2 linked regions of the Saccharomyces cerevisiae S288C genome follow. The protein of the gene in region 1 interacts with the protein of each later gene in a biochemical or structural test. Each region holds a gene or a part of one and is shown in the gene's direction. Other genes may lie near its edges.

Region 1 (11,063 bases):
GCAGCAGTTACCGCCGAAGTGTAATTTGACAACATAAGGTATATGAAACTCTCCAAAGACCATTCATACCAAACTTTTTGTTCTGTATCGGAGTGTATCCGAGACATCAGCACAGAAAGTTCGGAGTCATCTATAAAGGATATTGGTTGCTTCAAAGGAAAGATAATTGGAGACCACGAGGTCATATTTGGTGTATGGTCACATTTCTTGATTAGATTTTCTTCTCGTCTGGTATTCATCAACGTTTCTTCGCTAAATTTTAAACGGACTGTGCTGTCATTGGGCAAAGTTGACAAGAATATATTGTTATATAAGTTTGCCGAGAAGAATCCGATAAAGCCATGGATTTCGCCGCGGTGCTTTATCTTGAACTCATTTAATGAACTTTGAGAAAATTCAACTGTAAAATCATCTTCGTCTTGGACAGTATCTTTTTGGGCCATGGGATGCTCGAACCGCCACACTTCATTTACCCTTGAGGATAATATACAGTATGGCACTCTATGGACTATCCAGGGCGCCTCCAAAGAGCGATTTGTTTGTGAGAGTTTTTGGTAGAATAATGGTGACGAAATGGGTGCTATGTATGAAGAGTATGACCTCGGTATGAAAATTGTGTCATTGTGGGAATGATATTTTTCAATAGACCAGAGACATTCTGGTGATAATTCATTGCAACCGAACGAACCCAGCAGTTCACTTATGCACAGATCTATCTGAATACGCTTTTCCGACGGCTCGTTGATTTGCCATTTGGTCATATCCTCCTTGATTAATTTCACTCTATTATCCCAACAGTCGAAATTTCTTTTTTGCAAGTACAGATATGCCTGTGGATTTTTTTCAATGGCAATTATAGAAACCTTACTATCCATAAACAACATTGATATTATCTTAAAAGTTCGATCCACTAAAGGTCCTCTTCCCGCACCGGCTACTAGGATCACCAACGGTCTCTTGGCACTCGCTCGAGGAGCAAGATCTTGAAGCGCCTCTAATATGGCAGATTCGTAAAGATCGTACTTCACCAAATCTTTTTCAAAAGTCAAATATGTGGAATTTAATAAATTATCTGAATGAGGTTTCAGAGGCGGCATTATCCGAGAGTCCTCTTGGAGCAAAAATTGGTGATTACTATTGGAATTTAATACTTTGTCGCCCTTTTTCAATAAGTAGTTTATATATTCCAAATAGGCAGATTCTCCGCCCTTAACATTATTGGCATATTTCTCCATCCCATGCAATATCACGCATAATTCATTACCCAAAATTTGTGAATCTCCATTAACCTTTTGGAACTTTAAAATCAAATTCTGGTTAAACTTGTGTAAAACGGGATAATCGTACTGATTACTGGCAAAGATGGATGAAGATACCAAAAGACACGAGACGGGTTCGGCTAACCATCTATTCAGCACATACGAAGGAGTCCTGGTTCTTGGCAAAGCCAAAGAGATAGTCAAAGAGGGATGATATTCGCATTGTTTCCGCACGGTATTCCACAGTTCCCAAGTGGCCAATGGATCGCTGTCTTCGTAAAGTGGCAGAGAAATGGATATGGTTAACGCAGGCGCAGCAAAGACGATGCGATTTTGCAGGAGCCTGTAAATCATCTGTCCATACAATTGCAGGTTGGACAGGTCCCGTGGAGGCGCCAATATTAGCTTATTGATTCCAACAAACCTCGCGTACTTACATTCGTTTAGAAGGACCTTTAAGCCAAGATCTCTTACATTTGGATCGCGACTCTCCAGCTCCAGCCAAGAGGATAACAGCCCTATGTAAGACGGCGTATCGTCATTGTCTAGCTTCTTGACGTTGAACGGGGGTATACAGATATCCTGCAACTGCGGTTCAGGAATTTGAAGCGGTTTCCAGTTCTGTATGGATTGTCTTTGGAAATCTTTGAAAACTTGCCCAACTATTTCCTTATATCTTGGCGTTGTTATAGGAAGCAAAACGTAATCATAGTTACTAGGCAGTTCTGGTGAATGACTAGAGACATTTTCTAGGAAACGTGACTTTTTGCTGTGCTGTTTATGATTAAAGCCTGGTTTGACACCAACAAATACGTTGCTATGCATATGCAAACTGAACCCTTTGTATATATAAAAATTATATGTATAAAAGAAGAGGAACGTCCGCACAATTCCACACACACACACACACACACGCTTTCACACACGCAATTTGAAATAGCTCCTATAGGGCTTGGGAATAGGATCACAAGTCACTCGAAATATACCATTTTTTCTATCACACATACACATTGTATAAAGCCATTTGTTTCAAAAAAATATAAAAACACTGCGCAGCGTGCTGTTTCGGGTTCCATTTGTGATTGTTTATTTTTCTTTTGGTTTAGCTCAGTGCAAAACGAGGGCTCGAAGAATTTTCAGATAAAACAGTACTCGAGCCCTGAGATCTGTTTTAGGGTCTAAAAGGCGGGTTATAAAAATATGTCAGGTGATTTTTTTTTCTCGTGGTATGAGATAAATAAAGAATGGAGCTTTTATGCATGAAAGGACAGCGGATGGCAGTAGAGCAGACATCAGTAGCATTCATTACAACTCTGTCGTAAGTTCTTGGAACTGCTGGCCGCGTTGGATACAACTAGATTGACACGCACTTACTCTCGTCTTACAGTACTATGTACCATCACTATCACGCCTTCCAAGGCAGAAAGCTTACTGACCAAGAAAGAGCACGCGTGTTGGAGTTTCAAGATTCCATTCACTATTCTCCGCGGTACTCAGACGATAACTATGAGTACAGGCATGTGATGTTACCTAAGGCCATGCTAAAAGTTATCCCATCTGATTACTTCAATTCGGAAGTGGGGACCCTGCGTATATTAACAGAAGACGAATGGAGAGGCCTCGGCATCACACAGTCTTTGGGGTGGGAACATTATGAATGCCATGCGCCAGAACCACACATTTTGCTATTCAAAAGGCCGCTGAACTACGAGGCCGAGCTGAGGGCAGCGACCGCTGCTGCTCAACAGCAACAGCAACAGCAGCAACAGCAGCAACAACAACAACAGCAACATCAAACACAATCGATTTCGAACGATATGCAAGTTCCACCCCAAATCTCCTAGCTTTGATATACTCTAATTACTGAAATTGAATTCCTTTTCAAGGCTCCATAACTATATGGAGCATACTATGTACTTATCATAATAAAGAATAAACAAACAAGCAAACAAAAAAAAAAAAAACTATGGATCATAGTTTTCACCAACAAGCATTAGAATACAAATAAAATTTATATAGTGAATATCCTTCAAATAAATTTCTTCTTTCCCTTATAAATCAAATAGATGGAACGCACGCTCCAAAACTAGTCAACTAGAAAAAAATACCCGCCGACGGACAATTTTGAAGAGAGATGATTAATGAAGACAAAGTGAGGCTGGACAACAAGAACGACATACACCGCGTAAAGGCCCACAAGACTGCATGGAATCACACGTCAAATATCTTGACGAATTGATATTGGCAATAAAAGACCTGAACTCGGGGGTGGATTCAAAGGTGCAGATTAAAAAAGTGCCCACGGATCCATCTTCTTCTCAGGAGTACGCCAAGAGTTTAAAGATCCTGAACACCCTCATAAGAAACCTAAAAGATCAAAGAAGGAACAATATCATGAAAAATGATACTATATTTTCGAAAACAGTTTCCGCCCTTGCCTTATTGTTGGAGTACAACCCCTTCTTGCTTGTTATGAAGGATTCCAACGGGAACTTTGAGATACAAAGGCTGATAGATGATTTCCTCAACATATCCGTTCTGAACTATGATAATTACCACAGAATATGGTTTATGAGGCGAAAATTAGGCAGCTGGTGCAAAGCATGTGTCGAATTTTACGGAAAACCTGCTAAGTTTCAGCTTACTGCACATTTTGAGAACACCATGAATCTTTACGAACAGGCCTTGACTGAAGTCTTGTTGGGCAAGACTGAGCTTCTCAAATTTTATGACACCTTGAAGGGTCTATACATTCTTTTATACTGGTTCACTTCGGAGTATAGTACTTTTGGGAACTCTATAGCATTCTTAGATTCTTCTTTGGGGTTCACGAAATTTGACTTTAACTTCCAACGATTAATCAGGATTGTTCTTTACGTCTTTGATTCCTGCGAACTAGCAGCACTAGAATATGCCGAAATCCAACTCAAATATATTTCTCTAGTTGTGGACTATGTTTGCAATAGAACAATTTCCACAGCCCTGGATGCCCCAGCGTTAGTTTGTTGTGAACAATTAAAGTTTGTATTGACTACTATGCATCATTTTTTGGATAACAAGTATGGGCTCTTGGATAATGACCCCACTATGGCCAAAGGAATTCTTCGACTATATTCTCTTTGCATTTCTAACGATTTCTCAAAATGCTTTGTAGACCACTTCCCAATTGACCAGTGGGCAGATTTTTCACAAAGTGAACATTTTCCGTTCACGCAGTTGACTAATAAAGCTCTCTCGATTGTATATTTTGATTTGAAAAGAAGGTCCCTACCTGTTGAAGCTTTAAAGTACGATAATAAGTTCAACATCTGGGTATACCAATCGGAGCCGGACTCGAGCTTGAAAAATGTCACTTCTCCCTTTGATGATCGATATAAGCAGCTGGAAAAGCTAAGGTTGCTAGTACTAAAGAAGTTTAACAAGACAGAAAGAGGAACTTTGCTCAAATACCGCGTGAACCAGCTAAGTCCTGGATTTTTTCAAAGAGCTGGAAACGATTTCAAGCTAATTTTAAATGAAGCATCTGTATCCATTCAAACTTGTTTCAAGACAAACAATATAACAAGGCTAACATCATGGACTGTAATTCTCGGACGTCTAGCCTGTCTAGAATCAGAGAAGTTTTCCGGCACTCTGCCAAATTCCACAAAGGATATGGATAATTGGTATGTTTGTCATTTATGCGATATTGAGAAAACTGGCAACCCTTTCGTGCGAATAAATCCAAATAGACCAGAGGCTGCGGGTAAATCAGAAATCTTCAGGATACTTCATTCAAACTTTCTATCTCACCCAAATATAGATGAATTTAGCGAATCTTTGTTAAGTGGCATCTTATTTTCTCTACATAGGATATTTTCACACTTTCAACCTCCAAAACTTACAGATGGAAACGGTCAAATCAATAAGAGCTTTAAACTGGTACAAAAGTGCTTTATGAATTCTAACAGATACCTACGTTTATTAAGTACTAGAATTATACCTTTATTCAATATATCAGACTCTCATAATTCCGAAGATGAACACACTGCCACGCTGATAAAGTTTCTACAATCTCAAAAATTGCCAGTGGTGAAAGAAAATTTAGTCATTGCTTGGACACAATTAACATTGACGACTTCTAATGATGTATTTGATACACTACTTTTGAAACTGATTGATATTTTCAATTCTGATGATTATAGTTTACGAATAATGATGACTTTGCAAATTAAAAATATGGCCAAAATTTTAAAGAAAACACCATATCAATTACTATCGCCTATTTTACCTGTATTACTAAGACAGTTGGGAAAAAACCTCGTGGAAAGAAAAGTTGGCTTTCAAAATTTAATAGAATTATTGGGATATTCTTCAAAAACAATTCTCGATATTTTCCAGAGATATATCATCCCTTATGCAATTATTCAATATAAGAGCGATGTGCTAAGTGAAATTGCTAAGATTATGTGTGATGGCGATACAAGTTTAATTAACCAAATGAAGGTTAATTTACTGAAAAAAAACAGTAGGCAAATATTTGCCGTAGCTTTGGTAAAACACGGATTATTTTCTTTGGATATCTTGGAAACCCTTTTTTTAAATAGGGCTCCAACTTTTGACAAAGGATATATAACTGCATACCTTCCCGATTATAAAACTTTAGCTGAAATAACGAAGCTCTACAAAAACAGCGTTACTAAAGATGCAAGTGACAGCGAGAATGCTAATATGATTTTATGCTCTTTGCGATTTTTAATCACCAATTTTGAAAAAGACAAAAGGCATGGTTCGAAGTACAAAAATATCAATAACTGGACGGATGATCAGGAACAAGCGTTCCAAAAGAAACTACAGGATAATATCTTAGGTATTTTCCAAGTTTTTTCGAGTGACATACATGATGTTGAAGGCCGCACCACTTACTACGAAAAGTTAAGGGTTATCAATGGCATTTCTTTTCTTATCATATATGCCCCCAAAAAATCAATAATTTCCGCATTAGCCCAGATTAGTATTTGTTTGCAAACAGGACTTGGGCTTAAGGAAGTTCGATACGAGGCCTTTAGATGTTGGCATCTGTTAGTTCGCCATCTAAATGATGAAGAACTCTCTACTGTTATAGATAGCTTAATTGCATTCATACTTCAAAAGTGGTCTGAGTTCAACGGAAAACTTCGAAATATAGTGTACAGTATACTGGATACCTTAATCAAAGAGAAATCGGACCTGATTTTGAAATTAAAACCTTACACTACTTTGGCTTTAGTAGGCAAGCCTGAATTAGGTATTTTAGCTCGTGATGGCCAATTTGCAAGAATGGTGAATAAAATAAGAAGTACCACGGACCTTATACCCATATTTGCTAATAACTTGAAAAGTAGTAACAAGTATGTCATAAACCAAAATTTAGACGATATAGAGGTATATCTTCGGAGAAAGCAGACAGAAAGATCGATTGATTTTACACCAAAGAAGGTTGGGCAAACTTCTGATATAACATTAGTTTTGGGTGCTTTATTAGACACTTCTCATAAGTTTAGAAATTTAGACAAGGACCTATGCGAGAAGTGCGCCAAATGTATCAGTATGATTGGTGTTTTAGACGTTACAAAGCATGAGTTTAAAAGAACAACATATTCAGAAAACGAAGTTTATGATTTGAATGATAGTGTTCAAACTATTAAGTTCTTGATATGGGTCATAAATGATATCCTCGTTCCTGCGTTTTGGCAAAGTGAGAATCCCAGCAAGCAATTGTTTGTTGCCCTTGTCATACAGGAATCATTAAAATATTGCGGGCTAAGTTCAGAGTCATGGGATATGAACCATAAAGAATTATATCCAAATGAAGCCAAACTATGGGAAAAGTTTAACTCTGTCTCCAAGACAACCATCTATCCGCTTTTATCTTCCTTGTATCTTGCGCAATCATGGAAAGAATATGTCCCGCTAAAATATCCTTCTAATAACTTCAAGGAAGGATACAAAATTTGGGTGAAAAGGTTTACATTGGATTTATTGAAAACAGGTACAACAGAAAATCATCCATTACACGTGTTTTCCTCTTTGATTAGGGAAGATGATGGCTCACTATCAAATTTTTTGCTACCTTATATTTCTCTGGACATTATTATCAAGGCAGAAAAAGGAACTCCATACGCTGATATTTTAAACGGGATTATTATTGAATTTGACAGCATTTTCACGTGCAATCTGGAAGGAATGAATAACTTGCAAGTGGATTCGTTAAGAATGTGCTATGAATCCATCTTCAGAGTTTTCGAATATTGCAAAAAATGGGCAACTGAGTTTAAACAAAATTACAGTAAACTACACGGCACTTTTATCATTAAAGATACGAAAACAACTAACATGCTTTTGAGAATAGATGAGTTTTTGCGAACAACCCCTTCAGATTTGCTAGCTCAACGCTCCTTAGAGACGGATTCTTTTGAAAGGTCTGCTCTATACCTTGAACAGTGCTATCGACAGAATCCTCACGATAAGAACCAAAATGGACAACTACTGAAAAATTTACAAATCACATACGAAGAAATAGGAGACATTGACTCACTCGATGGTGTACTGAGAACCTTTGCTACAGGAAACTTGGTTTCTAAAATTGAAGAATTGCAATATTCTGAAAACTGGAAACTCGCACAAGACTGCTTTAATGTCCTCGGCAAATTTTCAGATGACCCCAAAACTACAACCAGGATGCTAAAGTCTATGTATGACCACCAATTGTATTCTCAAATAATATCGAACTCTTCGTTCCATTCTTCAGACGGAAAAATTTCTTTGTCTCCAGATGTGAAGGAATGGTACAGCATAGGTCTTGAAGCTGCAAATCTAGAAGGCAATGTTCAAACTTTGAAAAATTGGGTAGAACAAATAGAGAGTTTAAGAAATATTGACGATAGAGAAGTACTTTTGCAGTACAATATTGCGAAAGCTTTAATTGCCATCTCAAACGAGGATCCATTAAGGACTCAAAAATACATCCACAATTCCTTTAGGCTTATCGGAACAAATTTTATAACGTCATCTAAAGAGACGACGCTGCTAAAGAAACAGAATTTATTGATGAAATTACACAGTTTATATGACCTCAGTTTTTTATCTTCTGCGAAAGATAAGTTTGAATACAAAAGTAACACTACCATACTCGATTATCGAATGGAACGTATTGGGGCTGACTTCGTGCCAAATCATTACATATTGTCAATGAGAAAGTCATTTGACCAATTGAAAATGAATGAACAAGCAGACGCTGACTTAGGAAAAACATTCTTCACTTTAGCCCAATTGGCGAGAAACAACGCTAGGCTAGATATAGCCTCCGAATCATTAATGCATTGTTTGGAAAGGCGGTTGCCTCAGGCAGAGTTGGAGTTTGCTGAAATACTATGGAAGCAAGGTGAGAATGATAGAGCCTTAAAGATAGTGCAAGAAATACATGAAAAGTATCAAGAAAATTCCTCGGTTAATGCTCGCGATCGTGCCGCCGTGCTATTAAAGTTTACTGAATGGTTAGACCTTTCGAACAATTCAGCGTCCGAACAAATTATTAAACAATATCAGGATATTTTTCAGATTGATTCTAAATGGGATAAACCATATTACTCTATTGGCTTATACTATAGTAGACTACTTGAGCGCAAAAAAGCAGAGGGTTATATTACTAATGGTCGTTTTGAGTACAGGGCAATATCTTACTTTTTATTGGCATTTGAAAAGAACACTGCTAAAGTAAGAGAAAATTTGCCCAAAGTTATCACGTTTTGGCTAGATATTGCGGCCGCATCAATTTCTGAAGCTCCTGGAAACAGAAAGGAAATGCTGAGTAAGGCTACGGAAGATATATGTAGTCATGTTGAAGAAGCGCTGCAGCATTGTCCCACTTATATTTGGTACTTTGTTTTGACTCAGTTGTTATCTAGGTTATTACATTCTCATCAATCATCGGCCCAGATAATAATGCACATACTGCTAAGTTTGGCTGTTGAATACCCCTCTCATATTTTATGGTATATCACAGCCCTTGTAAATTCCAATTCTTCAAAAAGAGTTCTTCGTGGTAAGCATATTTTAGAAAAGTATAGACAACATTCGCAAAATCCTCATGATCTAGTTTCTAGTGCATTGGATTTAACGAAAGCATTAACTCGTGTCTGTTTGCAAGATGTCAAAAGCATTACAAGTAGATCAGGCAAATCTTTAGAAAAAGACTTCAAATTTGACATGAACGTGGCCCCATCTGCAATGGTTGTTCCAGTAAGAAAAAATTTAGACATCATTTCACCACTAGAGTCTAACTCAATGAGGGGCTATCAACCATTTAGGCCGGTTGTTTCTATAATTAGATTCGGATCATCTTATAAAGTGTTTTCTTCATTAAAGAAGCCAAAACAATTGAACATAATAGGTTCAGATGGCAACATTTATGGGATCATGTGTAAGAAGGAAGATGTCCGACAAGATAACCAATATATGCAGTTCGCCACAACAATGGATTTTCTTCTGAGTAAGGACATAGCTTCAAGAAAAAGAAGCCTGGGCATAAATATTTACTCCGTACTATCTCTTCGAGAAGACTGTGGGATATTGGAAATGGTACCGAATGTTGTAACTTTAAGATCTATTCTTTCTACAAAGTACGAAAGTCTGAAAATTAAGTATAGCCTGAAAAGTCTACATGATAGGTGGCAGCACACCGCAGTAGATGGAAAACTCGAGTTTTACATGGAACAGGTAGATAAATTTCCTCCAATCTTGTACCAATGGTTTTTAGAAAACTTTCCTGATCCAATCAATTGGTTCAACGCCAGGAATACGTATGCCAGATCTTACGCCGTCATGGCAATGGTTGGCCATATATTAGGTCTAGGTGATAGGCACTGTGAAAACATATTACTAGATATACAGACGGGTAAAGTTCTTCATGTAGACTTCGACTGTTTATTTGAGAAAGGCAAAAGGTTACCTGTCCCAGAAATTGTTCCCTTCAGACTAACACCAAATTTATTGGATGCGTTGGGCATAATTGGGACAGAAGGAACATTTAAGAAGTCTAGTGAAGTCACGTTGGCTTTAATGAGAAAAAATGAAGTAGCGTTGATGAATGTGATCGAAACAATTATGTACGATAGAAACATGGACCACTCAATTCAAAAAGCGCTAAAGGTCTTAAGAAACAAAATCCGCGGTATAGATCCGCAGGATGGCCTGGTATTGAGTGTTGCTGGCCAAACAGAAACATTGATCCAAGAAGCAACATCAGAAGACAATCTAAGCAAGATGTATATTGGTTGGCTTCCATTTTGGTAACGACTTTCCACCATTTTCGGCAACAGACGAACTTCCTCTTGATCTAACCATCACTGCAGGTGCTTTTCTCCGGCGGAGTTAATAGATACTTATCCCCGCTTCATGTCATACTATCTCTCTTAACAGGGATGTTGACACCATATAAGTTAACATAACATATACGTACGTAATAATATTAAGGACTATCTCGCATTTCAAAAGAGAAACAACCTAATCAAGCCTTATTATAAGAGCAAATTATTCAAAAAAAGTCTACGGAGAAAATTATTATGGTGGTTTTAGACAAGAAGTTATTGGAAAGATTGACTTCTCGTAAGGTTCCCTTAGAAGAGCTCGAAGATATGGAAAAACGATGCTTTTTGTCTACTTTTACATATCAAGATGCCTTTGATTTGGGGACTTACATAAGAAATGCAGTTAAAGAAAATTTCCCCGAAAAACCAGTTGCAATTGATATCTCCTTACCAAATGGGCATTGCTTGTTTCGCACAG
Region 2 (4,513 bases), on another chromosome or scaffold:
ATTTGCTGTTTGTTGTCAGAGAAACAATAAGCTTCGTGACTTTAAAAAGCTTGAAATCATCAAAACAAGACCAAGTAAATTGAATAATATAAAGTAACGCCAGTAGAGTTATGGGTTCACCTGTCATTGCGGTTGAATTAATCTTGTCTAATAGCAAATTTTTCCATAAATTTGTAGGGTATAATAGAAGTAGCAAAGAATTTTGCCTTTTAAAAAAATCTTTAATAATGACAGACAACAAATTTTTCAAAAACTGAAGGTTATAATCATATTTAAGTAAAAGAAAATTTGGGAGATGATTAAAGTCACCATTCAGGTTCAAAAAATTTGTTAACAGTTGCAGTTGTAGATCAATATTATTTCGATCGTCTGTAAAAACTACTGCTTTTTGAGTAGGAAAAGTATTAGTTAGAATATTCCATGTCAAATGTCCCAAAAACCTTTGATTTTCAGACTGAGTGTTGTAATTATCAAAACAATAAAATGTATCATTAATGAACGGCAAATTAGAATTTGCATTGGCGCTGGAACTCGCATTCATATTTGTCAAACGGACGACCTCTTTTTCTAGTAGTTCTGTATACCCCTTTGGAAGACCTCTCCTCGACAGTTTATCCGAGGTTTTGCAAGGGAAGTCAATTTTCGCACAGTTTGAACAGTTCGGTTTTAAACCGTCACACTTGATTTTTTTCAGTCTGCATCTATCGCAAGCATGCGCCTTTCTGACAGAGAAATCAGTGATTGCGTTAGAGGAGCTTTGACCGGTTGGTACTATCAGGACTTTATTGCTGCAGGAATCTGTATCATCGAGGGAATAAGACCTGCCATATTTCCTCTTGGCCATCGTCTATTCAGAGTAGCGAGAAGAAAAAAAGAAGCAAAAAAAAAAAAAAAAAACGAGCAAAAGAAATCGAGCAAAGGAGAATGAGCAAAGGATAAACGGAAAACAATGGTAAAGAGGATTAGCCGCTGAACTAGATTGTAAATTGAAGCGGAAAAGAAAACAAAGGAGAGGAAATCGGAGAGGCAGAAAGCTTTCTGCCTTATATACTTTTTTTTTTGCCGCCGAGTTCTGAGATCACGCCCTTAAATTTAGCCGCCAAAACACCGGTCGAACGGCGAAAATGGATCGGAGTCTTGATTGCACCCACACCTCGCATTTTGTGCACTAACATAAAATATGACGAAGTGAGAGTCATGACACACAGAATAACTTAAAAATACTTGAGGAAAAAGTTCTCATATTATGAGGTCATAATAACTACATCGTTATTGTTGCGATATAACTTCAATGTTTTCTGCCTGCAAAAGAATCCTTCCTTTTCCTTCTTTAATTGAAGAGTCCATGTAACCTTGTTTCGTTACTTATATTTATTCACCTTTCTACTTTAGTCACATAACGTAATCTGGGCATAATCATTGAGGTATCATTATTAGCTTGAACTCGTGGTTCCTATTGTCGCCAGGTTTCTTTCAACGCATTTGCTCTTTCCGCTTCGCATACGGCGGTGATCAAATGCAAAACTTACCCTCATCAGTATAAGAGAAGAAAAACTGCATGGACTATTCGCGTATTGCCTGGTAAAGCTATATAGTACTATTGGTAATGTTTGTACTGTTTTATGTACATGATGAATAAGAAGAGACAAATTTTACGTGATATATAAGTCTTCTATTTCTAGTATGGCAGGTATTTTATCAGTAGCATTAATATTACTATGAAGCCCTTTCAAGGAATAACATTTTGTCCGACTGCAATAAATAATGAAATCTTAGCTAAAAAAATATCAAAGAAAATTATTAAGTTAGGAGGTATATTTTCTAAAGATTTGACCAGACAAGTTAATGTCCTTGTTGTTGGGTCCACCACCAATACAAACAAATTTAAATTTGCGGTGAAGCATAGATTCGATATCATATTTATTGACATTCAAGCCATTGATGACATTTATCAGCTCTGGCTGTCTGGAGAAAATATATTGCCGGACTCTAATACGGCAACAATGACAGGATCCACCTATGAGATGCTGAAGATACTTTACCGGCGATTTTCGTTTAAATATTTGCATAACTTCAATATCTTCATTGGCAGAATAACCGACACTAACATAACTTCCATCGATTCATTGGTTAGGAGTATTAAAAAGTTAGGGTGTTCTAGTTATAACTATCAAAACTTTGTAATCAAAGATACCTCTTCACACAATGATGACGATGATCAAGGTCAGAATGGGCAGATATCCATTTTTGTTACGGATACTTTACTAGGAGCAAGAGTTAACGCTGCTATTGAACAAAATATACCTATTGTACATTTCAAATGGATTCTCGATTGCCAAAAAAGAAGCGCACTGTTACCGTACGATCCCTATTATCTTTTACCAAATATTAAAGACCTGCCCTATGATTCAATCGGATCAAACTCTTGCGATTGCTGGGATAAAATAAACACCACCTTTCCAACCAATATCGATGCCCAATCCTCTCTGCAGCGGCAGCAATCCTCCAGTACCCTGACTCCTTCGCTCCCGAAAACATCATCCCTCTTGAATAAATTTAAACCAAAGGGTGAAAAAATATGGGACAAGGCAATGTCTCTACAGCAGCATAGTAAGACAAATTTTTCAGTACTAGGGCAGTCACCATTATCGATAAATAACAAACAAGAAGATTTAAGTGATAATAGTACTTTGATTTTCAAAAATTGTGCGTTTATCATTCATCATATTTTTCCTGGCAATCACCGTTCAATACTAACCAAAATTGTTGTTCAAAATGGGGGTAAAATTGAGACGTCTTACTTGAGCGGCATTTACGATCATTCTTATTACATCATTCCAAGTAATAAAGCTCTTGACTCCTTCAATGATTTACCTGAGATTATAGATGATAATGATGGTATAGTTACAGAATTTTTCATTGAACGCTGCTTGTATTATCAAAAATTACTACACCCAATAGATTTATGGTCAAAACCCTTCCTCAGCACAATAGAGTTTCAAGTTTCGTCTTCTTCAAAGTTATTGCATCATGAATTTTCTTCTTCCCCTTTTCTGAATGTTACTATCACTGGATTCTCTGGCGTAGAGCTGTTACATCTGACTAAAGTATTAAATCTTCTAAAACCAATGGGCATCAATTATGTAGAATACCTCAATAAATCCACTGACATTCTGCTAATCAACTTAGCAGCTTTACCCAGTATCCCGAAAACCCATCCGTTATGGTCGAATGAATTTAGCGATCTTTTTACTCAGTTTTGCATTAATAACAATAATGATGATCCTGGTGATAATAACAGAAAAGATTTTCAAAATAATTCAATCTTGAGAAATTCGATGAAAAGGAAAATTGAATATATCAAGAAATTCCACTCCATACCGGTAGTTACTCCAGCATTTATTTTTAAATTATTGTCCGCTGCATCTGGAGAAAATAATGAAATCTTTTTAAACAATATCAAGTGGTGTATTATCTGCCCAAGAGGACACAAGGACGATTTTAAATGTAAGATAAAAAAACCATACTATACCAGCATTAGTTCAGAAAAAAAGTACCAAAACAATGATCCAAAAATCGACAAAACTATTCTTTTGAAAAGAAACAATTCCTCATTATCGGAGCACTCTATGAAAGATACCAAAAACGAATTATTGCAGAAAATTAGAGAAACTGATTCTGGAAGAAAAAAGCGTAGTGTCTCATCGAGTATCATGGATGTTTCTTCAGAGAGACAAATGCCGGATACGAAAAGGATCAAGTTGGAGTCACTGCCAAAAAATTTCGTTCCTAAACAAATTAAACGAACCACGAGTTGGGGCACAATAATGTCAGAAAATGTGCCTACAGAGCAGCCGACTGCAATTTCTAATCCAGAAGAGATCCCAAGAACTGAGGAAGTTTCACATACTCAAGTTACCTATGGCTCCATTCAAGATAAGAAACGTACTGCCTCTTTAGAAAAACCTATGAGACGACAGACAAGAAATCAGACAAAGGAATTAGATTCTTGAAATGTAGTCCGTAATTTTATAAGATATTCATTTACATACGCCATCTACAGCATTATTCAAATCTACTCATCTATATGTATTACCGTTTTGTATGATAATACTTTCCATGACATGCTCGCGTGAAAAAACAGCATGAGAAAAAGAGGATCGCAATAAGAAGACACGTAAATATCTAAATAAATGGCAACAGTACATCAGAAGAATATGTCGACTTTAAAACAGAGAAAAGAGGACTTTGTGACAGGGCTCAATGGCGGTTCTATAACAGAAATTAACGCAGTGACATCAATTGCTTTGGTAACTTACATATCATGGAACTTATTGAAAAATTCCAACCTTATGCCTCCTGGCATTTCCAGCGTGCAATACATAATTGATTTTGCATTGAACTGGGTTGCTTTGCTTCTATCTATTACTATTTATGCTAGTGAACCATACCTTCTAAACACGCTAATACTGTTACCTTGTTTGCTCGCATTCATATATGGAAAATTTACTAG

The links. Proteins that work in one complex are often made in the same cells at the same time.
Region 2: the proteins of MEC1 (region 1) and DPB11 form a complex in vitro, tested with the Saccharomyces cerevisiae proteins (3 studies listed by BioGRID, with this or other methods).

What each region holds. Positions count from the first base shown.
Region 1 is NC_001134.8:502,204-513,266, forward strand, and holds MEC1 (protein kinase MEC1), read left to right. Parts: upstream 1-3,464; coding exon 3,465-10,571; downstream 10,572-11,063. Other genes in the region: HSL7 (protein arginine N-methyltransferase), read right to left, coding at 1-2,084; cyclin-dependent protein kinase regulatory subunit CKS1, read left to right, coding at 2,651-3,103; YBR137W (uncharacterized protein), read left to right, coding at 10,841-11,063. UniProt on the Saccharomyces cerevisiae protein: Serine/threonine protein kinase which activates checkpoint signaling upon genotoxic stresses such as ionizing radiation (IR), ultraviolet light (UV), or DNA replication stalling, thereby acting as a DNA damage sensor.
Region 2 is NC_001142.9:262,257-266,769, reverse strand, and holds DPB11 (protein kinase activating protein DPB11), read left to right. Parts: upstream 1-1,718; coding exon 1,719-4,013; downstream 4,014-4,513. Other genes in the region: SIP4 (Sip4p), read right to left, coding at 1-844; GWT1 (glucosaminyl-phosphotidylinositol O-acyltransferase), read left to right, coding at 4,218-4,513. UniProt on the Saccharomyces cerevisiae protein: Has a role in the initiation of DNA replication. Required at S-phase checkpoint. Required for the association of PSF1 with origins. Also required for the proper activation of RAD53 in response to DNA damage and replication blocks.